Diceros bicornis minor: one gene and its partners. The protein of the gene in region 2 interacts with the protein of the main gene of each other region in a pairwise test. Links are inferred from orthologs where the notes say so. Each region holds a gene or a part of one and is shown on either strand. Other genes may lie near its edges. The genes, in order: SEMA4C, PNMA1, MCM7 and ATP5PO.

Region 1 (7,922 bases), on a different chromosome or scaffold from region 2:
CACCCCTGGCTCTAAGCTCCAGGCCAGCTGCCCTGCTGGGGGAAAAGACAGCGTCAGAATCACAGCCAGAGAAAACAAACTGGAAGGGGGCCCACAAAGCCCATGCCAGGAGGCACTGACAGACACAAGACCTGATCAGGCCTCCCCAGGAGCCCCCATGAATTCCTCCCTTCCCCTTGTCCTTGGAGCAGAGACCTACTCCCCTTCCGCCCCTCCACAAGCCTCCACAGGACCACGGGGTCTCCCTGAGGGGAGGGGGAGGAACGGAATCAGCTGGAGGAGTGGACACTCCAAGAAACGCTCTGTGGCCTCCAGGCCCTCCCCCACTCCCTCTCCTCAACAGGAAGTTGTTTGAGAAAATAAAAAGGGGACCCCCATCCCCCACACTCAGGCCTAAGAGATTCGAGGATTTCTTAAAATAACCTCTGGAAGCAAGACCTGCCCCCACTGGGGCTCCAGCCTGCCCCAAGATCTAATTCTGGGACGCAAACCCCTTAGCAGGGTGAGGGGGCAAGTGGTGGGGTAGGCGGTTGGAAAAGCCTTCCCCAGGGGGTACTTGGTGCAGCAGGCGTGCGGGGGTCCTGGCCCCAGCCTTTCCCCTCCCCCAGCGCAGACAATAGCCAGGCAGAGCCCAAAACCCCGTTCCACATCAGCAGGGCTGAAGTGGTGCCGGCAGCCGAAGGGGCCCAGCTTCCCGAGGCCCCTTTGTTGCCCAAGAAGGGAGGCAGGAAGTGGGCGGGATGGGCGTGGAAATGACCAGGGCCTCATCCTGTTCGTCGCACAGCCTCCTAGGAGACACTAGCCCTCGGGCTGAGGGGCGGTGGGACAACAGAGGCGGCTCCGGTCTAAAGAGGGTTCTCCCCGCGGCGCTCTCAGGCGGGGGCGGGAGACAGTGAGGACCGGGCGGCGAGTGCGAGAGGGGTTCCTCTTGGGCCGCGGGGGACGCCCCGCGCAGGGCGGGCGCCTGCTGCGCTCCGCGGGGTCTGACGAACCTTCCCAACTCCGGGATCGCGCCCCCGGGACTCCGGCCTGGCCAGGCCCTCTGCATTAATTTCCACTGCTCTGGCTCTCCAATGCCGGGCACAGACACAGAAGCTGGGGACTTGCTCACCCCAAAACAAAGGGTCCCCGTTCCTGGCCCCCCGGGTTCTCCCCTCCCCCAGCTCCGGGGATTTGAATGCAAACAAAGCGGCGGCGCTGGGAGCGTGGCGGAGCCCGGCCTGCGGACGCCCCCTGTCGGCCTAGTACCCCAGCGCGGGAAGGGCGGGGGGTTGGGGATACGTTCCCCACCCCATTCGTCCCCAACACACCCCCAGCCCTGCCTCTGCCCCTTACCCCAGGCCCCCGCCGGACCCCGCGGCGCGCTCCGAGGATCTGCCCGCACAGCGCTGCCCCCACCCCCAGCTCCTCCCAGGGCGGGGGACACTGGGGCAGCCCCGGCGGTGGGGGTGGAGGGGTGCGGGACCCAGGCGGCGCGACCCCCACCCTGGCCCACCCCAAACGGCGGGCCGCGAACGGCGCTCCCGCGGCTGCAGGGCGAGCGCTCCAGCCGGGGACCGGGCGGCCCGGCTCAGGTCGGGAGCTGGCTTTCCAGGACAAGCCGCCCTCCCAGCGGAACGAGCGCGCCGGCGAGGGGCCGCGGCAGGGAAATCCGATCCCACAACATCGGCCTCAGTCCAAGCCCGCCCCAAACTTTCCGTCGGGGGTGGGGGAGCCGGGGGCAGTTCAGGGACCCGGAGAGGATCCCGGCCGCCGACGAGACAGCACGAGGGACTCCCACTCCCCTCAGCCCCGCTCCCCCTGACTAGTCCGCGCCTCGGGACCCTAAGGCTGCGGGCACTGCTCGCCCCGCTCCCGAGCCCCCGCGAGGCAGCCCGCGGGGGGCGCACGAAGGATCTCGGGCGGACAGCTGTCCCCGCCGCTGCCGCTCCCTGCACCCCCCGACCCTGTCCCTCGCGCGTGCGGCGGCCCCAGCCCGAGTCGGGGGACAAAGCGGCCGCCCCGGGGCTCCGGCCCCGCGCAGCCCTGGCCTCACTCACCTCTTCTTCGCGGCTTGAATCCCTGGGCGCCGCCCTCGCGTTCGCCTCCGACCACGGTCCGCCCCTACCCGCGCGCCGCCGCCCGCCCGCGCTCGCCCGCCCTCCTCCGCTGCCCCTCTGCCACCGCCCCTCGGGCCCGGCTCGGCTCGGCGCCCCTGGGCTCGGGCTCCCCGCGCCACCGCGGCGGGCGCCGGCTCTTTCTCCACCGCCGCGGCTCTCCGCCCCCTCCCCCCTGACGTCAGGCGGGGGGGTCGAGCAGAGGCCGGGGGCGGGACGCGAAGGCCCGCCCAGGAGGGGGCTGCGACCCGCTGCGACCCGCCGGCCCCCCCGCTCCCGGGCCGGGGGCTCGGATCCCCAGCCCCTGCTGGTGCCCTGCCGCCCCGCGCCTCGCAGTCGCGGTCTGCGCCACAGCGCCGGGAGGTGGGGCGGGGGAGGGACTCCGGGCATCGCCATGGGGGAATCGGACTCACCCGGTCTTTCTGAAGTGTCCCCCAAGGCCAACCGCGGGCTGGGCGGCCGGGCTCGGGAATGGGGCTGAGGGGCTCCCCACGCTGCGGTGACAGGAACGAACGCAAGCAAGCCACCCCAGGGCGAGTATCCGAGGGAGGAGCGCAGGGGAAAGCGAGGCTTCTCTTCGGGCGGACCAGAGTGGTCTGTCTTTTGGCTCCAAATTCTGCTTCGTTTCTTGGCCCCAACGCCCACTGGCCCCTGCAGTCAGACTGGCACGGGCCTCACCAGCCAGGAAGACCCCCTAGTCGCCGGAGGCAGTTTGCCCCTTATTTCTCACCCTCCACGCAGAGGGACCCTGCTCAGTGCCCCTTCCCAGCTCCCGGTGAAGACAACCCTCCACTCCTGTTGCACAGAGCCCACCCCCAGGAAATGACTCCTGGTGCCACTAGAAGGCTGAATAACAAGTGACATGAGCCCTGATGTTCAGATCAGGGGCTGAGGGGAGCTAGGCAGGAGAAGATCTACTACCTTCAGAGCCGTCAGCCTCCGCCCACAGCCGCTCCTGTAAGTAACTTGTAGCTCTGGCCTCCTGGGCGGCGCTGGAGTGTCCTCCTTGCCAGCTGGTCCTCGCAGTTGGGCAGGTGGGCAGAGGAACCCCAGGGAGGCCACCCCATTGGCACCTGGAGACAGATGCCACCTCCCGGCTGGGAGCAACGGACAGAGGTGCAGAGACTGGAGGCCCTGAGGCTTCGTGGTAACTTTCAGCCCAGTGCAGTGGTGGAGGGGAGGAACACTTTAGGGCCTGTCAGCAGATCTGGATTATAAATCAGTCCCAACAGGAGCTTTTGTTCTGGGTTAAAACTTGGCATCTGAAAAGTGGAGCCCAGAAGAGGAGTGGAGATAGTTGGGAAAGGCAGCCCAGTTTGGATTCAGTAACAATTGGGTCTTTGCTAATACACATAAAGGCCCCTTCTCCCACGCTGGCCAAAGCCACATTTCCCAGCTCCTTTTCACCAGAAAAAAAGCTGTGCCCTTGGAGATGCTGGAGATAGGGGGCAAGCCAGTTAACAATAGCACGGGGTGGGCAGGGAAGGCTCTCTGCTTCAGCCGACAGGCAAGGAGGAGGTGTGTGGGACCCCTCATCCACATTAGAGCCTGTGTCTTCTTAAGTGGAGGTCAACTGATTGCAGACTCCCTCACCTTTGTTCTGTGCTTGAGACTTTGCAACCTGCCTTCACGTACATTTTCTCACTCCATCCTCATGACCACCCTTTAAAAAGCAGGTATTGTTTCTCCCATTTTATAGATAAAATAAGGTTCAGAAAGGTTAAGCAAGCTGCCCGAGTCAGGTAGATAATTAGTAAGGTCAGAATGTTAAATCAGGTCTTGGGACTCCCAATTCTGTCTTTCCACTAAGTCACAGTGTCTCTTGACAACTTTTAGGCCCCAAACACTTTATTTCTTGCTGTTTTTCCTCACCTTCAAGCCTTACCTCCACCCCCACCCCCACCCTCTAGGAGTAAGGGTTACCAGGTGGAGACTTGAGCTCCTGGCTCCACCTGCAAGATGGCCCCAGTGGAAAGTTTCAAAAGGTGGTTTGGTTTCACTGGCAGCGAGAGTTTTCTGTACCTCAGGGCTGGCTTCTCTGTTCCTGCTAACAGACCCTGGGAGCCCTTCCCTCCCAAACGCTCCTCCAAGATAAGGCTGCAGCCCCTCTTCCCTGCTTTTTCTACCTTTGCTCACTTCCGGCTGTGTTCTGTCCATTTCTAGCACTGGCCTTTTCCATGGGTGGGTGGGCAGGGGATAAGTTTCCTGCATGACTACTTGCTTATGATTCACACTTTTTAATAGAAACACAACTGGTCCAAAATGAGAATTCCTGGGTCTTAACATTAACAAAAAAAATACTAAGGAAAAAAAAAAGGCTCATGTACCTATCAAGTCTCCCCAGGGCCTGTCTGGCATATTCTAAGATGGAAGGTACCCATCCTTCAGCCCATAGGCCTTGACAGACCCACCTACTTGCCCCATTTGCTCAACAGCTTGTGGCCAAGTCAAGGAAAAGACAGAGATGTGCTGAATGCCTTCTGAGGTCCTGTAAGGATCCACTGGCAGTTCAGGGCAGCCCCTAGAGATGGGCCCAGGAGTCTTACTGAAAAGCAAGGCCCCCTCTCTCCCCTACACATTGTCATGCACCATGGTGCCCGTCGGCTGAGCTCCTTACCCCCTAGCTCTCGTGAGGCAGCTTTCTGACAGGAGAGGGGCCCAGCGTTCACACTGGGCCTCTCTAGTCATGCCTGAGCAACTCCCAAGGGAGCCAGGGCTGCTGATTACCCACAGAAGGGAAATGAGAAAGCCTGGGTCAGCCACCCCTCAGGGATCTTTCTGAGGGCCTGGGGACCGAGGTGAGCGGGGACATAGGAAAAGGGCTTCCTCTCTCCACTTCCTCCTCAAGGAGAGTTATCGAAGCCGCCCACCTGGGAAGCCTTTCCCTTCCCAACCCCTCCCTGCCACCATCACCAAAGGAAGCAGGAAAGCATCCGTCATCACAGCCCCGGATGCTTTTCCAGTGGCTTCAATCAGGATATCCCTCAGCCTTTCCCCAGAGGCTCAGGGATCTGGAACGGGCAAGCAGAGAAGTCGCCAGCACCACTGAGCAGTTCCTGGCCTGGAGGAGGCCGAGTCTCTCACTGGTCCCGGACTAGTTTTAGGAGATCTGGTCAGCTCCCAGCCAGTTCCAGCGAGGGCCTATTACACGTCCCAGGGGATGCCGTGTGCCCTTGGGTGACCTCAAAGTGCACCTCTCTGCTCAGGTTACAGCCAGGTCTCTGGAGGGACTGCGTTGTCACCCACACCTCCTCTCTCCTTGGTGTCCATTTCTCTCTTGGGGATCAGTGTGTTTGGGGAGTGAGAGGCAGGGCAGTGCACAAGATCCAGGCCTGAGGAGAAGGGCTCCAGATGTCTGCACTGATGGACAGCCTGATCCCTTTCCCAGAGCCAAGTAGGGGCAGCTTTGAGAACTGGAAACTCCCCAGTTCAGCCTCTCAGGTCTCCCTACTCCCTCTCTGCCCTTGGCAGTGAGAACAAAGAAGGGAAATTTCAAAGGTGATTTCCAGGTTTCCAGAGCAAACTGAATAGCTGAGGATTAACTGTCAGGATGTGCAGTGTCAGAAGCAGGGGCAGCCCTGAGGGAGGGTGAAGGAGGCTGGCTCACCAGGGCCGCCGCACTTTTATGGGAGCATCTCAGGCCTACCTGATGCCGCTGGGGCCTCAGTGGTGCCCCCAGCCAAGGGGGCCCGTGAGGTGGCCAGGAACAGAAACCAGAACTCTCAGTCAAGTGACCTGGGCACCCAAGTCACCCTGATAGAGGGTTCCGCCTCTCACCTGGCAGAGGCTGCAAGGCAGGGAGATGTCCCGTACTGCACCCAGCACTCTGCCCTGGGCTCGTGCCCTCTGAATTATAGATGACCCTCTCTCCCAGCATTCTGGGGACCCAGTGAGGGAGGCAGCTGTGTCTGAAACAGCCCCAGGAAGTGACAGGCTACATTTCAGGTCTGCAAATTGAGCCACTTGGCCTGAAAGTCCTTTATTTGGTGGGAGTCTCGCTCCTACTCAGCCTGCCTTACCCTGACCCCGGTGGTATGAAAGCGCAAAAGAGAGGGACACACACACACAGAAAGTCATAAGCACCCGCCGTGGCGGAGCTCCATCGGTGGACACTCGGGTTGAGCTGAGGGGTGGGCGCAGGCCATCCTCTGCTACTTCCTGTCTACCTCTGGTGGCCCCTGCAAAACCCATCCCAACCCAGAAAGAGTCAGGAGGGGCCAGAGACTAGAAATGGATTCTCAGGGTTGGAGGAGTGGGCAGAGGGAGAAAGGGGATACCAGGGATCTCCTAGGGGTACAGAGGGCCTACTCACTTACCAGGGCGGGCAGGTCAAAGACATCCAGCACCCCATCAGGGACCAGGGCCCACGACACTGATCTTGGCTAGGGCTGAGGGAAAGCAAAAGCAGGATCTGGAACTGTCTTTGGCACCGCCCCCTCGCTCCTAAGTCTGGGGAGTTGATTTCAGAGCTTAACAATAAACTGAATTAAGTGTAATTACAGCCCCAATCCACCATCTCACTCTGTAGATCTTCTCCGGTAGAGGCGGCCAGTGGGGAGTGGTCCCAGACTAGGTCCAAACAAATGTTCCCCATCCCTGCTCTCTGGGTGTCTGACAGCTCTGGGGCCACAGGAATAACTGCTCTTCCTCAGGATTTACACACAGCCCTCTGCTGCAGGGGGCAGGGCCGAAGACCCGGTCACACGGCTGTCGGAGGTGAGAATTTGTGAAAGCTTGAGCAGAGACGTCAGGCAACTGGACACTGGGCGTTAGCCCTCAGGATAGGGATTGAAGGAAATCTTCTAAACCACAGATGCTGAAATAAGACTTTAATGTGCACAAAGAAACCTCACACTGGTGACAGAGAGAGAAGAAGGAGGGTAGGGAGGCCCGGGAGGACCCAGGAGGCCCAGGGAAACCAGAGCTGTGGAGATAAAGACCCTGGGTGAAGAGGAGAGGGCTGGGAGAGGAAGGAGAGCTGAAGGCAGGCTAGGCACCGAGCCAGGGATCCCTTGCCCGGTGGGGTCAGGGACGGCGGAGGCAGGCTCTGGCTTCAACAGACTGGTCCTCCTCTGGCCTCCATTCTTCGCTTCCTCCAGTTCCCAAGGCCCCATTCACTTCCTGCCAGAGCCAAGAGCCCTGGCCTCCCCTGCCACGCTGTTAGATGTCTTTCCAGGGGCTGAAGTACTGGGCCTGTGTCAAGGAGAAAAACATAAGGTGATAGCCGGGGCCCAGGTGGTGCCCAGCGTCCATTCACCATCCTCTACTGGCCTCCTCTGTGCCAGGCGCGGAGTGACAGGAGTCCTGTGGCTCATGGTCCATGTGAGGACTCGCAGGTCAACAGGCCACTTAACCACAGCCCTGCCCGGGTTCCCTCTACTCACTGCTTGCAGGCCCAGGGCGGTGTGAAAGGAAGGTGGGGCCTACCCCCTGGCTTGGCCAGGCCACGAATCACTTTTCTCTCTTTTCATGACAAACACATTGTTTCCCACCAGAGACTAGTGGGATCTAGTTCCTTGGGGATTGAGGGTGAGGTTTGCTCTCCAACTTTCTCAGAGACTTGCGAAATCTGAGACCCAAGCCACAGCCTGTGGCTGATGTGTCAGCCCCAAGTCAGAGGTTGCTGGGGGAAGGACAGGCAGAGAGAAGTCACAGGAAAGGCGAGTTGGGAGCCGAGGAGCATTGGGAGAGGGGCTGGAGAAACAGTTCTCACCAGACCCAGCTGTCTCCATCAAGGGTTGGGGGCTAGGGGAGGGAAGGGCTCCTAAGCCAGCCGGTGCAGCCTGTCAGAGGGACTGAGGCCAGAAGGGAGGCTGCCAGAGCAGG
Region 2 (7,499 bases):
CATCTTCAGTCACTAAATCTCTGCAGCCAAAGAGACATGTTATTAAGCCATATTTCTCTTTTTATATCCTCTTGATATAAAATGGCCACTCTAAAACTGAAACACTCGTTTCACAGGTATGATGAGTTATTACGCCTGCATGGAAACAAACATTTTCAGCTGATAAGGGATTTCAAAGGGGAGAAAAAGCATTGCTCGATAAACTCCTAAACCCCATTTCAGGATTTTCTAACATGTTATAGTAAGTTAATATTCACTTATGTCTATTTAGCTTTCTAACACTTGCCTTATAGAACACAGGCAAAAATTGAGTACATTAAAAGATATTGTAATTTAAACTTTCATAATATGATATAAAGCTTAAAGATAAAATAATTGAGGTTTGATTTTTTAGTGACAGGGGAAGTCTTTCTAAGAAAAGAGGATATAGATCTTAATTACACTGAAAATTTTTATATATGTCAGAAAAATGAGAAGACAATAGAATTTTTAAAATATTTTTATTCATATACATGTATTTGATAACTTCAAATTTAGAATGCTTAGAATCAGTATGAACAAGGAGAACTGTTCAATGACAAAGGTTTGAAATGGAATGGATACCGTAACTGGTTCATGCAATTTATATCTGTATCTTGAACAGTGAAAAATTCTGATTTACACAGCTCTATAATTGCAGTATTTTTCTAACACCCCATTTTATAGTCTCAGAAATCTTTTCAATCAAACTGATTCAGATGTTTAAAGATGAAAAATAAGAAATCTGCACTATAAAGTTGAATAATATCTAATTAATTCACATTTCTTTCCATTAATATAAATCAGGAACAATTTACAGTGAACACGAAAACTATTCACGATATTAGTAACAACAGTTCACATTTTTACTTAACACTTCTTGTGTTAGCCAGGCCCTACGCTAAACATCTGAACATGCAATTTCACATTTAATTACCTCGATGGGAACTGTCACAAGTTCACATGTTTTTCACAACTGATGATGATGCTACTAGGACTGCTTGCACTGAGCACTTGTGTCCAAGCCTTTACCTGGAATTATAGCTAGCATGACTCACTTGTAGCAGCTCAGGGTGTTCGCTTGCACAATTTTACTAATGTTACATAAATACGCAGACCTGACTTCCCCCCCAGAAAACAGAACACGGCTGAGTCTTTACTACTAAGAGACACACCTGTAAGACAGCCCAGAGACAAGGAAAGCAGCTGTGATCCAGGTCTGCACTGAAACCCGGTTTCCTGGGAGTCAGAAGTGCCCCTCCAGGCCTAACTGCAGGAGGGCGGCCTCAGCCTCCTCCTCCTCCTCCTTGGCCTCCTCCTCGCGGATCTGCACCAGCAACTGAAAGAGGTTAGGGGCCGGCCCTTCCGCAGCCCCGGTCAGCCACAGCTGCCTTCGGATGGCCCCACTGTGGTTGGCCCCGGCAATGACCTGCTCCAGACGGGCCTGGTTCACGTTATCTTTATCTATGGCCCCCTTCTCCACCACCTTCTGCAGCAGAGGCTCCAGACGAATGACATAAGCAGATAACTTTTCTCCCGGGTTCTGGTAAGTGTTCAGAAATCTGACCTGCGCATCCCTAGAGCTCTCGACGCTCCCAAACACCTGCTCAAGCGCCTTCAAGCACTCGGTGGTGGTTATCGCAGGATTGTTAGTCTTGAGGATGCGGATGACATCAGCGGCGGGGCCTCTAAGACTCTCCATCAACCGCCGCCTCTTTTCGCCATCAGACACCTGCCACTCCTCTATAACCTCATTAGTGTGCTCCAGCCAAGGATCAAAGGTTTCCTCCCCAGGCCCCGGGATGTCCCTCCCTGAGAACAGCGTCAGCTTCTTGTACCATATGGACTCAACAAGAGGCTGAATAACATTATCCAAAATATAATTCAGCATCTCCGCTGGCATATCTGGGCCTGGGGCCTGAGCGGGGTTCTGAAACCCAAGGACACGGGCAACATCTTGCACGGTCCACCCCTCTCTTGCTAGGAAGAGATGCAGCCTTTCTAAAAATTCAGCATCGGAAGTCGGGGGCTTAAAGACCACTTTCCAGACCCCTCCTTTACCCGGCATCTCCCTGGGGATCGCGGCGTAATCGACAGCGCCAGTGAGCTCTAACAAGGCTGCTTTCGCATTCTCTTCCCTCCAGAACATTCTCCCAAGCACTCGATAGGGCACCTGGGGCATCGCAGCCTGGAGGGTCTCTTCGATTTCAGCCTCATCACAGTTCACTGGGATCCCCCAGACCAGCAGGGCTCTCTGGGAGTTCACATCCATTCCCCTGCACCAGTCTTCCAACAGTGTCACCGCCATTTTCCCAACTATCAAGGACCCTAACGCTAGGAATACGGATTCGACTATGGCTCCCTTGCTCAAGGACTTAGGACAACAGCAGACACTCTCCCCCAATATGCCCGCGGGAAGCAAGATTCACGCAATCACAACAAACGACATCAGAGTCCCGCTCTCGTCCTCTCGCTGCCCCCCCAAAGCCAGTGCGTCGGCGCGTTCTCGGAGCGAAGCCGTGGGGATGCTCGGTCAGTCAGTCACTCAGCCGCCGCCATCTTGCGTCTCTGGCCGGGGTCCGCGGCCGGGGTCCTCCGGCCGCAGGCAGGATGTCGTGTCGCAGCGCAGAAGGCGCGGAGCGAGGGTGGGTGGCGAAGGCAGGAGGCGCGGGGCTGGAGAGGCCGCCGGGGTGTGGTTGCGGGGCGTGGCCGCCTCCTCTGTGCAGCCGGGGCGCCGGGCACTCGCTGCTGCTCCCGGAGTCGATGAGGCGTTCGCGGTCGGAGCCGGGCTTTCAGGCGGGCGAGGAGCGGCGGCTTTGCAGGCGAGGACTGTGCCGCCTCCGGAGGGAGAGACTGTCCTGATGTGCAGCGGTGGCGCGGAGCCAGCCCGCGAGCGGCTTCTTCGTGGGTGCAGGAACCCCTGTGGGCGGCGAGGACGCGGAGGACCGAGGACACAGCGGAGGCGCGAGAAGGACGTAGAAGCAAGGCTAGAGGTGGCGGAAGCGAAGGCGGACAGGGGCGGCGGTGCGCGCGGGCTGGCGCGGCTCGGCTACGGACTCGTCAGACCCGGGGCCAGCCGAGGCGGGACTGCCGCAGTGGAGGGCGGGGCCGGCCCCCTGAGCGGCTTCCGCCCCGCCCCGCCCCCGGGGCGGAGCCTGCCGGAGCGTAGCCATGGCAACGGTGGCTCAGACGACTGGAGCTCTGCGCTTGGCGGCGGCCCGCGGGGTGGGGGTGGGGGGGAGGGGTCGAGCGGTTGCCATGGTGCCAGCGAGCGGCTGTGGGCACTGGTTTCTGTGATGGTGCATTTCGTTTTTCATTTTCCAGTTTTTTTTACAAAGCACCATGTTTAAAAGATAATATAATTCTGGAGTGGATTTAAGATGATATTGTTGATAATGCATCCGTCAAGGCAGACTTGTCTACTCATGTCACTCATTCAGCCAGTCAATGCGGCATGTGAAAATACCGCAGCTTCCCTGTGCCACCTGATCGCACTCTGCACCCTCCATATTTCATCCCAATGAAATGAAAACGTTGCAAGTGTGCCATTTACATGTTTTTGTGTGATACTGAGTTGAGACTTTCTTGTCTAAAATTTTATAAAAAGATCTGTATCTATTCAGTAATCTTTGCAGCCAGGCAGATGCTACTGTGTTATTTCCTCTGTCCTGGCATCATTGGCAATGGGCTAATAAAACAGAATCCTTATAATTCAAAAACGTCGAGTAATCCCCTGCAAGCAAAACAAGGCCTACCTACATCAATCCCAGATGGTGAAAATCTCCCCAAAGAACACAGCATTCAACTCTGAATTTTTAAAACCTTATTTAATAAAAGGTTTAAAGATACAGAAGAACATTCAAAAGTAAATAAGTTACATAGGTACATTACAATCACATCAGCAAGATTTTCTTTAGTGTATTAATTTTTTTTTATAAAAAGCACACAAAAAATAAAATCTTCAGTCTGGTCTATCACAACTGTACAGCAAAAGAGGTAATATTTATATATATGTACACTATTTTAATATGTAACAGTCTTTAAAAAAGGGTGCCACAGGCAGCAAACACACAAAAGGCAGTGTCTGATCATTTTTTTCAAAATAAAAGGAATATACTTATTTATATGCTATTAAAATATTTGTACACTAATTACAGACTGTCAAGGCTGTTCCTGTGCTGTCCCCTCCAACAAGGCCTTCAACTTAGAGACAAATGAGGAAAAGGTGAAACAGCTGCAAATTGTTAGTTAGAGGCAAATATTAACACAGCAAAATATGGGGAGGACATACAACTGTTTTATAAAAATATGCATACTCTTTGTAAACCTAAAGAGTTAGGCTTGCCAGTCTGGTAATAAATGCCGTCCGAGAAAAGCGAGCCCCAGAGAAAACATATTTAAACAGCTGAGGCTTGAGTATGTGTTGTATTCCTCCTTCATCTTAACATCTGGCACATAAGAAAGAGGTTAGGTCATTGAGGCAGTTTAATATAGGGGATCCCTTTAGACATAAGCAGCACACGACCTCTGTGTCAGGGGTGGAGGTGGGGTGGCAGAAGGGATGGGTGTACCTTAGCTGTGAGGGGGGCTGCTGAAGGCATGGAGGACAGTGCTGAAGCCCTGTCTCCTTGGGTGGGTAAGAGACCTCAGAAATGGTCTGGGACACAGGCACTAGGTTAGTTTCATGCCCTTAGCTGAGTGTAGATGGAGGCTGGGAGATGGATATGTGAGATGGTATGGGGAGGATATTACAAAGCTGGAGCTGTTTGTCATTTAACTTCTTAAAGCAAAGAGCTCTAAATAGAGTAAAAAAGAAAAAGAAAATACAAAAGACGAGCCTCATGTGTTCACAGGGAGAAAGCACCATAAAGGATAGACCTCTGCCAGCTTCTATGGCTGCACCCACTTTATTGGCAGGTCACTTGCCACAACTTCATCTGCCCTCCAAACATTTTAACTTGCACGTTGCATTCTAAATATAAATCCATCCTGGAGCATGAACCCTTCTAAAATACGGTCTCTGGTGAGATTAATATAGAGAGGTGCCATCTTGATTTTCTCCACCTTCATTCACCTGGTCTGGTCTCCATGAGCTTAGAAGAGGAGAGTCACTCTAGATGAAGGAGGTTTCTGTTACCGCATGTCCATAACAGGGCCTGAAACTAAATACGGTTTAAATAGAAAAAACCTTGGGAAACATAAGTAGCACTTTGGGGCGAAGCTGCGAAGGCACTCATATTACACAAGTGATTTAGAAGAAAGCCTAAATTTGCTACCCTTCTGTTTCTGGAGGGCATACTAGATTTTTCCAATCTTGGGACATCGAGCTTGTAGAAGCCTATGGAGGAAACTAACTGGGAAGCTGGAGATCCAGGAGTCTGGGGGGAGAAGAATTTTGTATTCCCATAGCTAGGGTCCTATAGAACCATATTAATGCATAAACGAATGCTGAAAGATACCTGATAGTGCATAGTTTAGAAACAAAACTCCCTCCCCACTCCCAGCGACCAACGTGATGCCTTTAGACTATCTCATAGGGAGCAGCAGAAGGAATACTTTTTGGCTCCTTCCTAACATGCTCACCTGTCATATACTTGCATTCACTTAGAACTTACACAACAGAGCAAAACAATAACAGCCCTCCTATGAGACTGGCAAGTGAAGGGGCCTCCAGAACCTTCCAGCCCTTTCACTTCAGTGACTCCATGCCAAATATGGCTTCTTCAAGACAGAAACAAAACCAGAATCCTGGCTTCCAGCCAATCCCCTCAGGCAATTTGAAAGTACAGCCAGAGAAGAGGTAGCAACAAGAACTGTCTTTGCTCTCCCTTGTTCCTGCCAGTCTCTGTGCGGCTTTGGTGACACCTTCCACCTTTCCACCCTCTTTCAGTGCTACTATCATTCCTATTGACCAGTTTCCACAGCAAGGAGGCGAGGGACCTTAGAGTCTTGGGAATGGGGGGATGGGGCAGATGCCAAGAAGGTGCCTTGTTTTGGGATAAATGCACTTGGGCCTCTGGAAAGCAGGAAGCCCCTGGTCCCTGAGAGGATGTTAAAAATTAAATATTAAGAATAAATAAATAGCTCCCAAATGACATAAGTCAAGGAATGAAGGCTCCTGTCCAATCTGGTTAGGAGACCTTCCCCTCCCAGGGAAGGATCCAGAAATCTCCAGCATGCAGGACTGGGGGCTAGGCTGTGGATGTCAGCACTAGACCAGGTGAAGTAGGGTTAGGTGGCAGCTGCCAAGGGCAGGACAGAGGCAGGAAGGGAACTTGCACCAAGGAGGAGCAGGCTGGGCCTGGGCTAAGCTCCCTTAGCAGCCTCCAGGGCCCAAAGGTATTTGGTAAAAAGGTGGGAAGCAGGAAAAGCCACAGCTTATCAAAGGCTCCCTCAGGCCTAGCCCTGCAGCTTCCATCCTCTGCACAGCTCCCTTCCCTCCAGCAGGCTGAGAGCTTGGACCGCAACACTGGCGCCTTCCCCAAACAGCTAAGAAAACTTTCTAGCCCCAGCAGGCTGCTAGCAAGCAGCAAAGGGACAGGCACCTGTCCTCAGTCTTTCTCCCTCCAGGCATTCTCATAGCCTCCTTCCCAGGGGAGAGGTGGTTTCTCTGAGGACAGGGTCACTGGAGCAGCTTAGGCCTGGACATTATCGTGCAGGGGACAGCACGCCTGCCAGGCAGAGCTCCCTCTCAGAGACGGCCACCACACTCCCTCGAAGGGAGTCTTTTTCCGGGGCATGGGGCAGGGCCTGTGCAGCCTTCGAGGTCCTCTGGGGAGGGGGAATAATGCTGCAAGAGGCGGGCAGAGCGGTGAGCTTGTGCTTGGCTCTCCATGGCGACCGAGGGGCGCAGGAAGAACAAAGAGGAAACGAAGAGACTGCGCGGCAGCAGAGGTCCCACTGTGAGAGGCAGCGGTGGCAGCGGCTAGAGCCCCTCCAGAGGGGCAGCCCCGCGAGCAGGGACTGTCCCAGTTCCAGGAAAGCATAAGGACGACTCCTGACAGACTGAATGCAAAGAGGAACTGGATCCTGCAGCCCTTAACACTGCTCCTGGGGCCTTTATAAATAAAAGAGCCGTTTATTTTATTGTCTTATTCGTTTTTCAGAGAAAAGTCCAGGGGATCTCTCCTCTCTCCCTCTGGAGGTGGCGGGGTGCTTGCAGGCGCTTTGGCAGCTGGTGCAGGGAGGGCCGGGAGCCCGGGGCAGGGGCCCGCCCTGGCTCCCCGGCCGCCGAGCCCTAGGCCTCAGCCCCTCTCGCCCGCGCTCTCCTCCCGCAGGGCCGGCTGGTGCGCAGAGGCGGCGGCCGCAGTAGCCGCGGCAGCCGCGGCCTCTTTCTCCTTCAGCCTCAGCGCAGCCGCCTTCTTCTCCTGCTCCGCGTGGCTCTTCATGTGCGCGCTGCGGCTCTTCACCTTGTAAAACACCCTGGAGCCGGGCAGGGGAGGCTCAGGTAAGAGGTCAGTCCCCACCCCGCCGTGCCACGT
Region 3 (7,910 bases), on a different chromosome or scaffold from region 2:
GTTCCCCTCTCTTCTAGTCCACGAGTGACTGCAGGATTCGAGTAGCCTCCCAAGCTCCACCTTCCCTGGACCCTGCGCCACATACCCCAAACTCACATGTTCTTGCATCTTCATTTCCTGGAATTTGATGAATTTGGAGCCACGTGTCTGCAGATACAGCCGCCCTCCTGAGCGGTTGGTCTGACACTCCTGGCTTGGGCACATGATCAGAGGCATGAAAGTGGGAGACTGGATCTAAGATATAAGAAAGGAAGTAACACAGGAAATCAGAAGGAAACGAGGCCCTTAGAATCAGTCACTCAAATCATATTTCTTCTTCATGGCAGATACCATGGATTGTCAAGAACATCTTGAACTATTCTGCATCAATATCAACAGGCACCAAGAATAAAATGAACAGAAAAGACCACCACATACCCGAAAAAGAATAAAACGTGAATATACAGGCATACTTTACAACAGAGAAAATGACAAACACCAGCAGACAAAATTACTTCTTGTTCAAAATGAACAAATTTAAGCATGTGCTTGTTTCTTGCTCCATACATACCGGCTGGTAGGTCTCTGCCCCACACTGGTCACAAGTGTAAGTGGCCACCACCATTCTGGGTTTGACTTCAGAAACGCGAGTGACGATTCCACGCACAGTTACCAATTTCCCCACAGAGTCAGCTCGTACTTCCCGGATCACACGAGGCTTGTTACTGGTTGGGCCTTGAAAGTAGAGCTCACTAAGGGAAAAGATAGTCATCAGCAGGGTCCTGAAGGATAAATTCTCACACCCTTCCCCACTGAGACCACTTACAATCTGCGCATGAGTTCTGGAGGGTACTGGTTCTGGGGGCTTCGCGGTGCCCCAGGGTCCCGGCTCCGCTGCTCCATCATCAGCCGATGCTCAATGTAAACGTCCAGGACATCTTTATTTACTACCTAAAGGAAGAGGGAGGAAGATACGAAAAATGAGTGGCAAAACGGGAAAAAGACAGCATAAAAGGCACCAAGCAGAAATCACTGCCCCTCTTTCTGCCAGCTCAGAAACCATCAGTATCTGAGAAACTTTTTAACAGAAACCTAAGTTCCTTGCCCTGCATTATTCTGCAACCACTCACCTCCCTCTCCTTGTACTGAGGCAGCAGCTCCTGTACAGCATCAGCAAAGAGCCGTGCATAGCGCTTGGCATTCTCACAAATCGAGTCCACCAACTCAGGGTCATCCTCAGCTATATCATCTAAGTCTATGTACATTGCCACTTGTTCCCGATGAGCCAGGCGAACCTGCGGTGGGGAAGAGACAGCAACAGAGCTAAGATGACTGTGCTCACCAGTGTTCACAGGCAAGGACCCCATCACTGTGAGCTCAACACATAGGTTCCAGGTCTCCACAGGAGAGCAAGAGTGGTGTGAGACATAGCAAAACTCACTTCTCAGCCCCCAAAAGACAGCCTTCCAACTCCTGAAAACACCTTAGTTATCATGAACGTAGCTTTCTATTCACTTACCAGTATCAGGTATGGTGCTAAATTTGTGTCCCTTACCGACAAATGTAACTGCTGAAATAAGCCAGGCCACCTCTTAGAGCTCCTTAAGCAACCACCCCATTCCCTCTACCTAGTCTTACACTTACCAACTGGTTCCCATACTTGAACTGCTTCTTGCCAAATTCCTCATCCTGGTAAAATTCTTGTAGGAACTTCTTCACTTTTTCTATAATGTAAACGTAAAATCACGACGATCAACCTTTCTTTCTTTCAGATAACCTTACCGTAAACCCCTCTGATAGAAATCTAAGAAACCCACCCCATTTAAAACAAGATCTGTAAACTAATTAATTATATGAACATTTAAATAAGCCTAAATAATTCTCCCCAAACTGGGCAGAACTCCTTTTTAACAAGTCTGTTTTTAACAGGGAAGAATCAGGGGCCCCTGGCAGGAGTATTACCCAACACCCGCCCCCAGGGGAATTCCAGTCTCTACCTTAGTTAGAAACCTTTGCAGCCTATCCCAAAGGCCTCTCACACCCAGCAACACACTCAGCAATCAAGGTTCTCAGCTTTTCTTCCACGCCTATGACTCCCCCTTTTCTTTCGGTCCCCTAAACCTCTGCTCTCTCTGGGATCGAGGCCACTAGGCCCGTCCTCCACCCGCTCTCCCGCCACTGCTTCCGCTCTTAGTAAACAAAGAAGCACATGGGCCCCGATGCCGCCGCCTCACAGCCCGGGATTCCTCCGCCCACGGTGGGAGCCCGTCCGGCGATTGGCCAGCTCGTCCAGGGACACTCCGTACTCCCCCACTATCTCCCCTCTCGGCCTCCCGCTAAGCCCCCCAATTCCAGGCACGCCCCCGCCCTCAGTAGCTCTCTCCGAGGCCGCCGCGCGGAAGGACACTGTTTACACACGACACTCCCTCCAGCCTCGTCGCGCAACTTCCGCCCGCCTTCACTTCCGCTTGGAGGTTGGCCTAAAATGGCCAATCCCGGCGCGCAGCGGCCCGAGACCGCCCACCCCCGGGGCTTCGGCGCGTCTCGGGAGGACGCGGGCACTCAGAGTGCCTAAGGGCGCGGAGGAAACGGGCCCGGGGGTGCCTGAGCCTTAAGCAGGGTCCCCTGATGTCCTGGTCTCTCCTGGGCGCGACCCTCCCCTCTGGAGCCCCAGCCAGGCTGCCCGCACCCCCAGCCCGATCCGTCCTCCCTTCCCTGACACGGTTACAGCTCTTCTCCGCCCTCAGCACCCTGCGCGCCTCCCAGGCACCGTCTGCCTCAACCCACTACCTCCCGACCCTGGCTCTGGTCTCGCCCGCCGCCCCCGGCCCCCCAGGACCCCAGCTCACACCAACAGGTCTTGGCCGGACGCCGCTGCCAGGCTTGCACACCCTTACCTTTCTCGAGCGCGTAGTCCTTAAGCGCCATTACTGCCGAGGGCCGTGCAGCAGCAGTTGGCGACCTCAAGGTTCTCACTCTCGGGATCACAGAGAACGTCCGCGCGGCGGACTGCAGCCGACCAACCGAAATTGGCGCGAAACGTCGCCCCTCACGTGACCGGCGCCACTGAGTGCGGACCAATCGGAGAGGAGGCCCTCCACCCTCCCCACTCGCCGCAGGCCCCCGCCTCGGCCAATCACCGGGCGAGCCTGGACTGAGTGACTGGGAAGCGGCGCGGGTGGCGAGAGGGAAAGACTAGGCGAGGCGGGGCGGGCGCCGGGTTTCCCGCGGTCGGAGGAGACTCGCTCTTAAAGGGCCAGCACGCGCGTCCTTTTGTTCCGCGGCCGCCGGGCGGGGTAGGCCCAACTTTCGCTGTCTCCTTGTCTACTCTTCCGAACGCCTATGATTTCCCAGTTCTTCATTCTGTCCTCCAAAGGGGACCCGCTCATCTACAAGGACTGTATCCTTGACCCGGGGGGCGCGGGGGAGGGGCTGGGTGGGAATAGTGCCCCAGAGCAAGCCTGTGTCGCCCGCTCCTTAGCTGTCCTTCCACCCGGTCAGTTCGCGGGGACAGTGGCGGCCGGGATGTGGCTGAGCTCTTCTACCGGAAGCTGACGGGACTGCCCGGAGACGAGTCCCCGGTTGTCATGGTAACCACTCGTGGAGCGGGAGGGGGCGAGTACTGGGGGGTGCGCCTGGCTGGCCTGGGCGGGGGGCGCCTCCTCCCAGGATGTTTCCCTGAGAGCTTCCACCGGGGGAGTGCATTCTTCCAAATAATATTAACGCAAGTTTATTGAGTGGTAACAATATAGCAGGCACAGGTGCTCACACGTCTCGATCCTCAGCAGTTCTGGGGTAGGTACCATCATTAACTCCCTTTACACATTAGGAAGGTGGGCTCTAGGGAGGTTTCATATCTCGCCTGAAGTCACACTGGTAGTCAGTAGGGGAATCAGGAAAGGAGCCCCAGGCTCATGGGCCCTTAAACAGGACAACTCTCTTTTCCTAATGCTCCCCCCCCCCCACCCCGCCTCTGCCTCAGCACCACGATGACCGTCATTTTATTCACATCCGACACAGCGGCCTCTATTTGGTGGCCACGACTTCAGAAAACATTTCTCCCTTCAGCCTCCTAGAGCTGCTGTCCCGGTGAGGAGGGCAGGCCTGGGCACCTGGGCGTGGGGGTCTGAGAGGAGGGGCATATGCACACTCCATCCTGTCTCCTCAGCTTAGCCACTCTCCTGGGCGATTACTGTGGCTCCCTGGGTGAGGGGACCATCTCCCGCAACGTGGCTCTTGTCTATGAACTCCTGGATGAAGTGCTGGTAAGTTCCAAGGATTTCCCTCACTGTCCCCTGATCCCTGAAGATATATCCTGTGGTTGCGAGGCTAAGTCCACGCATTTTCACCCCCTCCCTCCACTGACCACTCAAAGACTGTCTTTCCCCCGTCCATAGGATTATGGCTATGTACAGACCACATCCACAGAGATGCTGAGGAACTTCATCCAGACAGAGGCCGTGGTCAGCAAGCCTTTCAGCCTCTTTGACCTCAGCAGCGTTGGCTTGGTCAGTTGAGGGAGAGAGGAGGACAAGGAGGGAGGAGGGTTGGCAGGGAGTATCAAACCTGAGGATTGATTGCTTTGGGTGCTTTACAGTTTGGGGCCGAGACCCAACAGAGCAAAGTGGCCCCCAGCAGCGCAGCCAGCCGCCCTGTCCTGTCCAGCCGCTCCGACCAGGTGAGGGAGGGACTGATGGGTTCAGACCCTCTGGCTTTTTTCTGGGACCCCAGGTCTAAGATCCTGGCATCTCTTTTCACCTCTCCAGAGCTGGATAAATCCCTTACCCCCGTGTCCCCACCCCAGGGCCCTGGCCTCCACTATCCTGTCCTTTCTGCCTGTCCACTTTAGAACACAGGCCCTTCAGCCTCCAACCACCCAAATCCCCTCTCTTCCTCAGAGCCAAAAGAATGAAGTGTTTTTGGATGTGGTGGAGAGATTGTCCGTACTGATAGCATCTAACGTAAGTTTAGGCCCCCAGCCCTGGAGCTGAGGACAGATGGTATTTGGAAACTGTGTTAGGGAGGTCACCTCTGGGCACTAACCTCCCTGCCACTCTCAGGGCTCGCTGCTGAAGGTGGATGTGCAGGGAGAGATCCGACTCAAGAGCTTTCTTCCCAGCGGCTCCGGTGAGAAGTCTGCAGGCTGGCCCCAGGCTGGGGTTTGGGACAGGCTCCTTGGTGGTGTGCATGGCAGCATTTGGTGGCCTTTTCTGATGTCCTTTCCTCTGACAGAGATGTGCATCGGCTTGACAGAAGAATTTTGTGTGGGGAAGTCAGAACTGAGAGGTGAGGAGAGAGGGGTCTTTCTCTCCTAGGTGTATAGGTCACTGCCAAAAGTTTCATGGAGTGAAGTTAGAGACAGACTCCCCCCTCCCTGCTTTTCTCTCCCCAGATATGGCTTAGGAGAGCTCTTTCTCTCTTTCCAGGTTATGGGCCAGGAATTCGGGTAGATGAGGTCTCATTTCACAGCTCGGTGCATCTGGATGAGTTTGAGTCTCATCGAATCCTCCGCTTGCAGCCACCTCAGGGCGAGGTCAGGATCGGGGTGGCCTAAGATATTCCATCTGCTGGGGGGAAGGGAGGCAGTTCAAGTGTGAGGAGACCAAACTGACCTCCATTCCTCTCTGGCCTCAGCTGACTGTGATGCGGTACCAACTCTCAGATGACCTCCCCTCCCCGCTCCCCTTCCGGCTCTTTCCCTCTGTGCAGTGGGACCGAGGCTCAGGCAGGTAAGACCATTTCCCCTGTTCCAGAAATTCTCTGGAATCCAAGCTGATACCTATATGTTCTCAAGACTTATGGTGGAGTGGTGGTGGTCGAGGTAATATGGTACAAGTTGGAAAAAGGCATCCTCCCCCGAAGTGCACTCAGCCCCATGAACACTTGTGGCTAATGGAGCCCTTCTCTCCTTCTTGGGGCACTGACACAGCCACGCGTGGGGGCCCTGGGTAGGGGATGGTGAGATGCCAGGAGGGTATGGCCTGAGTAACGGTATTGTACCCTCTCACCCAGGCTCCAGGTTTATCTGAAGTTACGATGTGACCTGCCCCCAAAGAGGTACAAGTCGGGGTGGCCAAGCTGAATTCAGCTGTGGGGTAGGAGACCAGGCCCAGTAACCTGTTGCTTCCCACCTTCAGATACAGCCACCAGCCTCGGAATCCAGTTTAGTTAGAGGCTCTAGAGTTTGGGAAGGGGATGGGGTGGCACTTGTGTGGAACTCCAATTGTGACATTAATGAAGAGTGGGGACAAATCACTACCTTCCTGGGGCTGACTCTGTTCCTTTCTTTGCAGCCAGGCTCTTAACGTCAGGCTGCATCTTCCCCTGCCACGAGGGGTGGTCAGGTTAGTCGTGTGCACTGTGGGGGCTCGGGTGGTTTTACCAGCTTCCCTGGACAATGGCATGGCACTGGGGAGGAGTGAGCTAGGGGTGGGGCTGGCCTGCTCCTGATGAAGGCAGAGGCTGAGCACAGCACCTTTCCTCTCCAAACTCCAGCCTATCTCAGGAGCTGAGCAGCCCAGAGCAGAAGGCAGAGCTGGCTGAGGGAGCCCTTCACTGGGACCTGCCTCGGGTGCAAGGAGGCTCTCAGCTCTCAGGCCTTTTCCAGGTATCAGCTGCTGATCCTCTCAGGCCCTCTCCTCCCACCTCCATTTTCAGCCCCCTGACCCATCCCTCCTCACGCAGACGCTGCATTGTCCCCGCCAGCGTGGGCAGCTTCCTGGCCACTTGGCTTCCCTTGCTTTTTCTCTCTGTGCTTTCAGCACCCCTCCCCCTGCCTCTGCCCCTCACAGATGGATGTCCCAGGCCTCCCTGGCCCTCCTGGCCAAGGGCCCTCCACCTCAGCCCCTCCTCTGGGGCTGGGCCCCGCAAGCCTCTCCTTTGAACTTCCCCGGCACACATGCTCCGGCCTCCAGGTTCGCTTCCTCAGGCTGGTGTTCAGACCCTGCGGCAATGCCAACCCCCACAAGTGGGTGCGACACCTAAGCCACAGCGATGCCTATGTCATTCGGATCTGAGGCTCCCCACACGAGGACGCAGACAGCAAAGGCAGTGGTCTGTGGATTGAGAGGACCAGACTGTCTCTTCCAGCCTTCTGGCCCGTGGCTATGCATCTGGCTGGAAGAGTCCTGAGTCCTAGAGACCAGGTGGGCTTGACTAGTTGGACCCTCCTGTGGTATCTGACCCAGGAAGGACTGAGGTGGATCAGAACTTACAAATCAAACTTTTATTTTGAGGAACTGGCTGTACAATATCTAAAAAGAAAGTAATGTGGGGGAAGCAGAGTACTGCTTCCTTCCACCCATCGTATGTGTGTGTGTGTGTGAATCGGGGGAGAGGAGAAGGTCGGCAGATGTGTGACAGCATCAAGGTGCAGGCTGAGGGGAGCCAGATCCGGGGGGCTGGGAGCCATTAGCCTTTGGAGTTCCTGGAGCTGGAGGGGGGCTGTCCCCAGCTTCCTGTTTCCCCCCACAGAGAGCGCTGCTCCCAAGTGGGGAGGGGGCTGAGGATGGAGGAGGGGCTGGAGAAGAATGGGAGGTGGGGCCTCCTTTGCCCTCCCCTGTCGGGGGAAGAGAGACCACGATGTACTTCTGGACACTGCCTGGACCAGAGGGAGCAGTGCTGGGGGGCGCAGTGGTGGCGGTGGAGACCAGCTTGACAATGGGCTGCACGCTGGGGACCGTGGTGGTGACAGGAGAGGTGGTGGTGGAGCCTGAGACAGGGGCTGAGGTGCTGAGGGATAGGACCTGGGGGGAAGAAAGAAAAGGCAGTGTGGTTGCCTCACGGCCCTCCCCACTCCCCAGGCCTGGAGGAATACTACACTTGTGCAGACCAAATAATTTGTTCCCACCCTCTGAGCCTGTAGGCTGCTGCCACCTGAAAGAGCCTTGCTCAGGATGAGCAGCTACGGCCTTGCAGGCCCCTGGGAAGTG
Region 4 (7,763 bases), on a different chromosome or scaffold from region 2:
ATGCACCAAATCTGAAGGATAAAGAGTTTAAAATCATAGGGTCACAATACCTGGCATCCCTTTGTCCATTTCCTTCAACACTTCTTGTTCAAAGCCTGATCAGTTCTAGCCCAGAGGCCTCTGCCAATTGGCAGGACTGCCTAAAACCCCCTTTAACAGGGAAATCCATAGACCTGCATAGGAAGCTGCCAAAGTCATTTTCCTAATGTTGAGGTTTAAATGGAAAGGCAAGCTGCATATGAAGTTCTAAATCTGGGCTGCCGGACTGTGGCCCCGAGACAGCAAGTAGGTCTGGTCTGCTATACAGGATCCAGGCACAGATCTCAAAATTAACTCAGAGGAGAAAAGAACTAAAAGAAAGAGAAAATTGTTGCAGAATTTACTCTGAGATAAATAAATACACGAACAATGCAAACATTTCCCAGGTCCTTTCAGTGTAACAAAATGTGTAGGGAAAACCTTTGCCATGAGGGTACCATCCTTACTGTGTATTCTGCAAAGCTAAAGGAAACGTCCCCCAGGCTGGTGGAGTCTATGTCGAAGCTAATCTTGGGAAGGAAACTTGGAGGTCTTCTGGTCCAACTTCAGAGACTAGTCATTCACTCAGCTTCATGTCAGAAGCTGAGTGTAATCGAAACCAGAACAGATGGATCTCTCTTTAAGGGGCACATTGTTAAGTGACAGGATCATGGCATCCTTTTTTTTTTTTTTCTGATTATGGTAGCGACACATACTCATTATAGAATAATACAGAATGTAGTTTGTAATTTTTTCCTCGGTGTCATTAAATATTTTTCTATAGCATTAAATACTTTTTGAAAATCTCAATGTAATGGCTGCATAATGTGCCATTTTAAAAGCCACTCTCTTATGCTCAGACATTTGTTTCCAATTTTTTGCTACTTTATATTGAGTGAACATTTTGCACATTAACTTTCATCCAGATTTCTGAGTTTTAGAAAGGGGAAAGTCACTTCATTTTTTTAAAACATATGCAATTAAGGGTCTCATGACACCCACGCTGCTGTTTTCCATGCCAGCATATGGTGCCTTTGTAGACAAAGTAAAACAGTGAGCAATATTTGTTTTGAATTGAAAGTCAGCATAAAACAAAAATGTGGAGATTCAATGTCTGGTTGTGTTATCACTGTAGCCCTGCTCTGTGGCCTTGGGCAAGTCCCTTTGACTCCATCAGCCTCAGCTGTTAAAATAACTAATTTGTAAACAATTTGAGTTTGTACAGAGGGAAAGCATGATAAAGCAGAGTGTTGAGTCTTTTCCCTTCTGCTATGAAACAAAATTCTTTTTTTGTGTGTGTGAGGAAGATTAGCCCTGAGCTAACATCCATTGCCAATCCTCCCCTTTTTGCTGAGGAAGATTGGCCGTGGGCTAACATCCGTGCCCATCTTCCTCTACTTTATATGGGTTGCCACCACAGCGTGGCTTGACAATCGGTACGTATGTCCGCTCCCGGGAACTGAAGCTGCAACCCCCGGGCCGCCAAAGTGGAGCACGCGTCCTTAACCGCTATGCCACGGGCCAGCCCCACAAAATTCTTTTTTGCCTTTCCAAATACTCTATTAGCAGAAGGTATGGCAGTCACACAGCTGCGAAATTGCTGCCAACTGATCCCTTGTGAGAGTTTGCATCTGAGACCTTGGCCTGTCCTTGCAGGGCTCTGCCTGCAGTGAAATTTCAGCAGGTGCCCAGGAATCCAAGAGCAAGCAGAAAGAAGGTAAGTTTCAGCAGCCATGAAGTGGGGGAGTACCAGACAACCTACATCTCAGAGTTATCCTGAATCTCAAAATAAAAATGAAACCATATATGCACAACAACTTAATAAACCCTAAAACTCAAACAACCACAAACTGCTATTTTGGTGACACGCAAAAGGCTGGAGTGGGAATACAAAGGAAATAGAGAGCATCACCCTGCTGCTATGCAACTGTACAATTTACTTATAGTCAATTATCAACGCAATAGAGAGTTTAGAGTTTTCAAAGTGTATCAGGCCCGAGAACTTTTAATTTGTATTACATCTATTAACACCCACACCTTAGGAAACACAGGTTTTGTGGTTTGATTTCACATAGTACATGAGGTCTACGAAGGCAAGCACTTTGTCTGGTACCCTGCTGTACACTCAGGGCATGGAACTGCTGCTTACATATATTAGGTGCCCAATAAAATGTGTTGCATAATGAATATACTTTCCATTCAGCTTATTTGAAAATAGCCTCTGAAAATAGTTTGCAGAGTAGAGTGAAACAAGGGTTTTATGCACGGTGAGTGAAAGTGTAAATTGGGCAAAACTTTTGAAAAGCAGCTTGGCCTCATGCATCAAAGACTTTCAAATGGCTCATACCATCTCACCACGTTGTGCCAGGTCTAGGAACCTATTTGGAAGTTATCCTAAATATATATATAGAAATGTTTGTGTCTAAAGATGCTCAGGAGATGCCATATTGTTTAAAATAGAAAAAAAATAGAAGCCATCTGAATTATGTTCAAAAATCATTGAATAATTAAGTTACAGAATATCCACTTGATGGGTTATCTTGCAGCCATTAAAATGACGTTTATAAAATTTATATAACTTGGAAATATGCTTATATTATACTGTAAGCACGTATTCACAATTTGTATATAATTTAGCATCCTTTTTTTCTCTAGTATTAAGGAAAAGGGCGAGATACTAAATTACATACACATTATGAATCAGTATGCGTAACAAAAACAAACATATAATACAGAACAACGAGTGCCACTCTGTCAGGCAACTGTTCTAAGTACTTTACATGTATATTAACTTCTTTATTTTTCCTAACAACCTACAAGGCAGGTACTATTATAATACTCATTTTATCGATAATAAAACTCAAGCACAGAGAAGTTATATAACTGGGGAAGGCCATCGAAGGAACTGGGATTCAAGCCTGGGCAGTTCGGGCTACTGCCTGAAAAAATATTGGGAGACAACACACCAAAGTATTGACAACAGCTGCCTCTGGATGGTCTAAAAGAGGGCAATTACATTCCTTCTCCTTTTCTGCATTGTTACAAGTTTTTTGTAATGATGAGAAAACTGCACCCTAAAAGAGTAAATTAATGAATTAATCTGTGTTCCTATAAATAGATCTGAGCAGAAAAAGAACTTTTTAATTGACCATGGGACCCCATTATCGCAACCAGGGAACTCTGACCCGTGCCCTGAAGGCCAATTTTCTTCGGTACGCAAGAGAAAACTAGAGTAAGCTCCATTTAGGGGAAAATAGATTGAAATAGGTTGTTTTTATGAATGCAGAGAAACTGGCCAAGGCTAGCGTTGGGTTCTCAGTTCGTCACACTTGCCCAAACCCCAGTTCTCCTATTTTAGATCCGATTCTCAGATAATCACCCTGCCCTATCCAGCGTCAAGAATTTAGGCTTCAGAACCTCACACGCCCACAACCCAACCGGTTAGTGCTGTACTCAGGCAAGATGGGGCAGAGTGACGGCGGAAGGATGGTGGGGCAGTCGCCGCCCAGGTACTGGGCACGTAGAGTCCACTCCTGGAGTTTAAGGTTAGTTTTTAATACAACACGAGGAACTGCGTTTGATACACCCTTTGGCGTGGTAGGAAGAAGGCATAAAGATGCTAATGATGCTAGAGATGAATGTGAAATAGAACAAATGCCACCATATTTATCTAAATGGAAATTATAAAGCTACGGACAATAAATTCACTCTATAGTGAGGGCCGCTTAGTCAGTAACTCAAGGATTTCCTTTTCAGGTGCTGTGCGAGCCCACTACGCCCTTCCCAGCCCTGCGCGACCAGCTTTTACCACTCGCTTCCAAGGACTACAACTCCCAGCCTGAGGGAGGTCACTGCGCATGCGGCCTGACAACCTACGCCTACACTTCCCAGGGGGGCCGAGCGGCTACGCTGACGTACGCATGCGCCCTCCCGTGTCTCTCTCCAGCTCGGGTTTGACCTACAGCCGCCCAGGAGAAGATGGCTTCCACGGCAGTGTCCGGGCTGTCCCGGCAGGTGAGAGAACGGAGGTCCTGAAAGCCAGCGGGAGGATCCCTCCTGGGGTGACCGGTACCAGACCCCTAGTGCCACGGTGCGAGGGCACAGTCGAGGAAGCGTGGCCGCCGTTTAAGGTCGTGGAGCTCAGCGAGTGGGAGCAACGCAAGGAGGCTCCGGCGGCCCCGCTTTACCCGCGGGGCCGTGGGCGCGGGGCTGCGCGTGCCTGACCTTGGACCGTGGACCGTGGCGTCCTCCCAGCACAGCCTCGGGAAGCAGCTGGCTTGAGGGGCACAGGAGAGGGCGGCCGGCTTCCCTGGACTGCGAGAAGAGAACGTGGCCCACCCCTAGATCATCTTCCTTTGTCGTTGTGGTCACACCTGGCAGGGGTCACTAGTGATGCTAAGGAATATTTTTGTAAAGTCGTATTTCACGTTCTTATAAAGAAAATAGACAGAAAAGCTTAAATGAGTCGTCCTTCGCTGCTCAGCCAGTAAGGGGTAGAGCCGAGATTGGAACTCCGAGTCTCATAGAAGATGGAGCTGGGAAGAAAATTCGTGCTTTTTATGGTGCATGTCAACACAGGGCTGTACATAGCATGACCCCTTACAGGTTACGTAAGTTTTCCATAGTGTTAAAAAGTCTTTTAATCCTCAAAACCAGTTTTGGTGTAGTACACTCCAGAGCTAGTTATTTGAAGGTGGCCTGTACACTCTTGCAGGTGCTTTTAAGACTAGCGATTCCAACTCTGTTTCTTGGTAGACAAGATACCACCTCTCAGAATTAGGGCCTGTTCTCACATCAGAGTCTGCTGCGATGCTCGAAGGACTGGTCTTTATTTTCAGAGAGCATTTGGATTCTAAGAAGGTACATCTCTTGCAGGTCATGACTGGAATCCTCCCACTTTTTATTAAAATACTGTTCAAAGGTGGTAATATACATTCCAAAAATCTTGTTAAAATGTTTTTGAAATACGTATTTCATCGAAATTAGTGTTTTCTCTCTCATACTGGTGTGCTAGCCTGTTCCTGGCTGACTAGGAAGTTAGCGGGAAGGCAATTTCCTCAGCAAGTTGGGCTGATTCTTAGTAGGGAAATTTACTCATGGGTAATAAAGAGCAGCTCGCTGTCATGCAATCTATGCAATGATGCAAAGAAACTAATCATTTAAAAGTCATAGTTAATGTTTTTTATTACTGGTTTAAATGCAGAAATCCTTCCAGTAACCTTGTTTTATCTACTTTCCTTTATTGTTTTAAAGGTGCGATGCTTCAGTACATCTGTGGTCAGGCCATTTGCCAAGCTTGTGAGGGTATGTTGACTTATTCTTTGGTAATTGTAAAGCAGATAAAAGTGTGTGAGTCAAACAGCAATATAGTTAGGCATGGACTTTTGTATGGTTACTCCCTAAATCTTTCTGCACGATTTGCCATTCCTGAAATGTGATGTGTGCTTAGGGGAATGGAAGGGAATAATGTGGAATGCCTGCTATATAACAGGCCCATGCATAATTTTTAAATATGAGAATTTCTGGGGCTGGCCCAGTGGTGTAGTGGTTAAGTTCACACTCTCCGCTTCGGAGGCCCGGGGTTCACCAGTTCGGATCCCGGGTGCAGACCTGTGCACAGCTTGTCAAGCCAACTGTGGCAGCGTCGCATATAAAGTAAAGGAAGATGGGCACTGATGTTAGCCCTGGGCTGATCTTCCTCAGCAGAAAGAGCAGGATTGGCAACAGATGTTAGCTCAAGGCTAATTTCCTCACAAAAATAAGTAAATAAATATGAGAATTTCTTAAAACCTCATAACAGTAATGGGAAGTAGCTGGTCTTCCCATTCTGCAAAAGAGAAAACTGAGACTCTGGGAAAACTTGCCCAGGGTAACTCAGCTTGGTCTTAGCATCGGAACTAAATCTTTCTCATTCAAAGCCTAATCTTTTCCACTACAAGCCCACAGCACCACTAAGCATGTATAGTCATACACTGATGGTAGTGTGTAGGAAAAAAGCCTACAGGTTATTGTGAAAAATAATTCCAACATCAGGCACTTAGTAAATCGCTAAAGGGCTCCATTAAACTGAACATTGATGGGGAGGCTCTGTAAGGGAAATTTATAGTATTACTGTGAAATGTACAAAAGTATACTTGTATGTGTTTCATAAAGGCTTGATTTCCTGGCTCTAACATGTTCAAAACTGCCTTCTCTCAGTGTTAAAAACCTCCCATACTTGGAACTGAGTAGTTATTGAGTTGAAAGGAAGCGTAAGCTCATCTCAAAATTAACATAGTTAAATTACAGATAGTTAGAGCTGAAAGGGACTTTAGACACATGTTTCCTAAGCCCCTTGTTTTAAGATGAGGAATTGGAAGCTCAAAGATTGGGTGATCTGGCCAAGGAAACATCCCTAATTTGTTTGAAAATTGCCATTCAGGATAGCTCTTGGATGATATGTTTAAACTGTTTTGTGCTATAAAAAGATGTATTTTTAAAATTACAAATATTTAATTCTGCAATTGACAGCATAATATTGTCGTAACTGATCTTCCTTTTCCCTTGCTTCCCTACCCCACCCTTTGTATTAAAGCCCCCTGTTCAGATATATGGTATCGAAGGTCGCTATGCCACTGCGCTTTATTCTGCTGCATCCAAACAGAATAAACTGGAACAAGTAGAAAAGGAACTGTTGCGAGTAGCAGTAAGTAGCTTTCCTATTCATTACTTACTAAGTTCCCATTGTATATTTTTCCCTTTTGTTATTTGACTCTGCATCCCTAATGAGGTATATCCTAAGAGAAAAAGAACTGCAAAAAAAGAAAAAGAAAAACCTATTTTCTATAATCATATTGATAGTAGTAATACTGGGTGGTATTGTTCTGAACCTGTTGTATAATAGATGCAAACAGATACACATAAAGATATTAATATTAGGAACCAAGATTTCGGGCTAAGAGAAGAAACAGAAATAGAAAATCAAAATACAAGATGGTAAGTTAAGAAAAATTGCCATTCCAAAAGAGAATTAAAAGTCACCTTTGAAAATGTATGCTTGTATTCCAGGTACTTCCAAAATAGCCTTTAGAATATATTATGATTTTGTTTTACTGGGAATTTATTTTCCTTTTCTTTCCTCAGTTTTAATTATTATTTTATTCCAAGATGTGAGGGGAAAATGACTGAGCAGGGCGTGCTGGGCAGCATTGTAAAGGTGTATGAGCTCCATGATGATGCTAGAGAACTGACAGACTGTGAGGCTACTGAGGAAAGAAAAAAAAAACCTCGCAGGCTAGTTGCATAGAATAATACTTAACATGTTTTGTTCTTTTTCATTTTGAGCTTTTATTGGAACTTTTGTCCTAACAGACAATAATTTTAGCTCTGTATTCCTTCCATTATCCAGTTAGGTCTGCAGATAATGCCTGCGGTCTTAGTTGGTGTGGTCAACCCTTAGGATCCTCACAGAGCCAGCAGCCGTATTGTTGGAGACACTTGGTGGTGTGGGGGGATAGCAGGAGCAGACAGGATCTCACACAGGCATTTCTGGGGGTGATAATTATTGCCCACTATTTGTCATTTATGCCCATTTTAAACCTGAACAGTGGCATTCACAATGGAGAGCAGGACCTGAGTTGTGGACATTAGAATGGGGTTTAACTAAAACCTGGAAGTCAAGATGTGGAGACATAGAAGAGAGGCAATTACCTTAAGACTCTTTATAAATGAAAATTAGCTATTTTTTGGCTCTGAGAGGCAAGTGT

Evidence for each region.
Region 1: the proteins of PNMA1 (region 2) and SEMA4C interact in binary tests that used the Homo sapiens proteins (3 or more experiments, as listed by UniProt). The two-hybrid records come from large-scale screens. The link is inferred for Diceros bicornis minor from reciprocal best matches to the Homo sapiens genes PNMA1 and SEMA4C.
Region 3: the proteins of PNMA1 (region 2) and MCM7 interact in binary tests that used the Homo sapiens proteins (3 or more experiments, as listed by UniProt). The two-hybrid records come from large-scale screens. The link is inferred for Diceros bicornis minor from reciprocal best matches to the Homo sapiens genes PNMA1 and MCM7.
Region 4: the proteins of PNMA1 (region 2) and ATP5PO interact in binary tests that used the Homo sapiens proteins (3 or more experiments, as listed by UniProt). The two-hybrid records come from large-scale screens. The link is inferred for Diceros bicornis minor from reciprocal best matches to the Homo sapiens genes PNMA1 and ATP5PO.

The regions. Positions count from the first base shown.
Region 1 is NC_080779.1:15,759,053-15,766,974, reverse strand, and holds the start of SEMA4C (semaphorin-4C), read right to left. Parts: upstream 3,006-7,922; 5' UTR 2,578-3,005; coding exon of another isoform or gene 1,809-2,577; intron 1,642-1,808; coding exon of another isoform or gene 1,405-1,641; intron 1,245-1,404; coding exon of another isoform or gene 1,164-1,244; intron 930-1,163; exon of another isoform or gene 893-929; coding exon of another isoform or gene 741-892; exon of another isoform or gene 33-740; 5' UTR 1-32. Other genes in the region: transcription initiation factor TFIID subunit 4, read left to right, coding at 741-892, 1,164-1,244, 1,405-1,641, 1,809-2,577; protein FAM178B, read right to left, coding at 7,257-7,289.
Region 2 is NC_080763.1:21,878,206-21,885,704, forward strand, and holds PNMA1 (paraneoplastic antigen Ma1), read right to left. Parts: upstream 3,004-7,499; 5' UTR 2,327-3,003; coding exon 1,265-2,326; 3' UTR 484-1,264; downstream 1-483. Other genes in the region: MIDEAS (mitotic deacetylase-associated SANT domain protein), read right to left, coding at 7,263-7,440.
Region 3 is NC_080765.1:5,668,571-5,676,480, reverse strand, and holds the start of MCM7 (DNA replication licensing factor MCM7), read right to left. Parts: upstream 3,009-7,910; 5' UTR 2,908-3,008; coding exon 2,877-2,907; exon of another isoform or gene 2,594-2,876; intron 2,163-2,593; exon of another isoform or gene 1,977-2,162; intron 1,704-1,976; coding exon 1,624-1,703; intron 1,275-1,623; coding exon 1,110-1,274; intron 931-1,109; coding exon 806-930; intron 732-805; coding exon 551-731; intron 235-550; coding exon 97-234; intron 1-96. Other genes in the region: AP4M1 (AP-4 complex subunit mu-1), read left to right, coding at 3,322-3,379, 3,481-3,569, 3,962-4,068, 4,148-4,244, 4,377-4,487, 4,577-4,657, 4,878-4,940, 5,040-5,106 and 7 more; TAF6 (transcription initiation factor TFIID subunit 6), read right to left, coding at 7,344-7,724. UniProt on the Homo sapiens protein: Acts as a component of the MCM2-7 complex (MCM complex) which is the replicative helicase essential for 'once per cell cycle' DNA replication initiation and elongation in eukaryotic cells.
Region 4 is NC_080766.1:34,363,935-34,371,697, reverse strand, and holds the start of ATP5PO (ATP synthase subunit O, mitochondrial), read left to right. Parts: upstream 1-4,756; 5' UTR 4,757-4,827; coding exon 4,828-4,878; intron 4,879-5,271; coding exon 5,272-5,322; intron 5,323-6,592; coding exon 6,593-6,703; intron 6,704-7,763. UniProt on the Homo sapiens protein: Subunit OSCP, of the mitochondrial membrane ATP synthase complex (F(1)F(0) ATP synthase or Complex V) that produces ATP from ADP in the presence of a proton gradient across the membrane which is generated by electron transport complexes of the respiratory chain.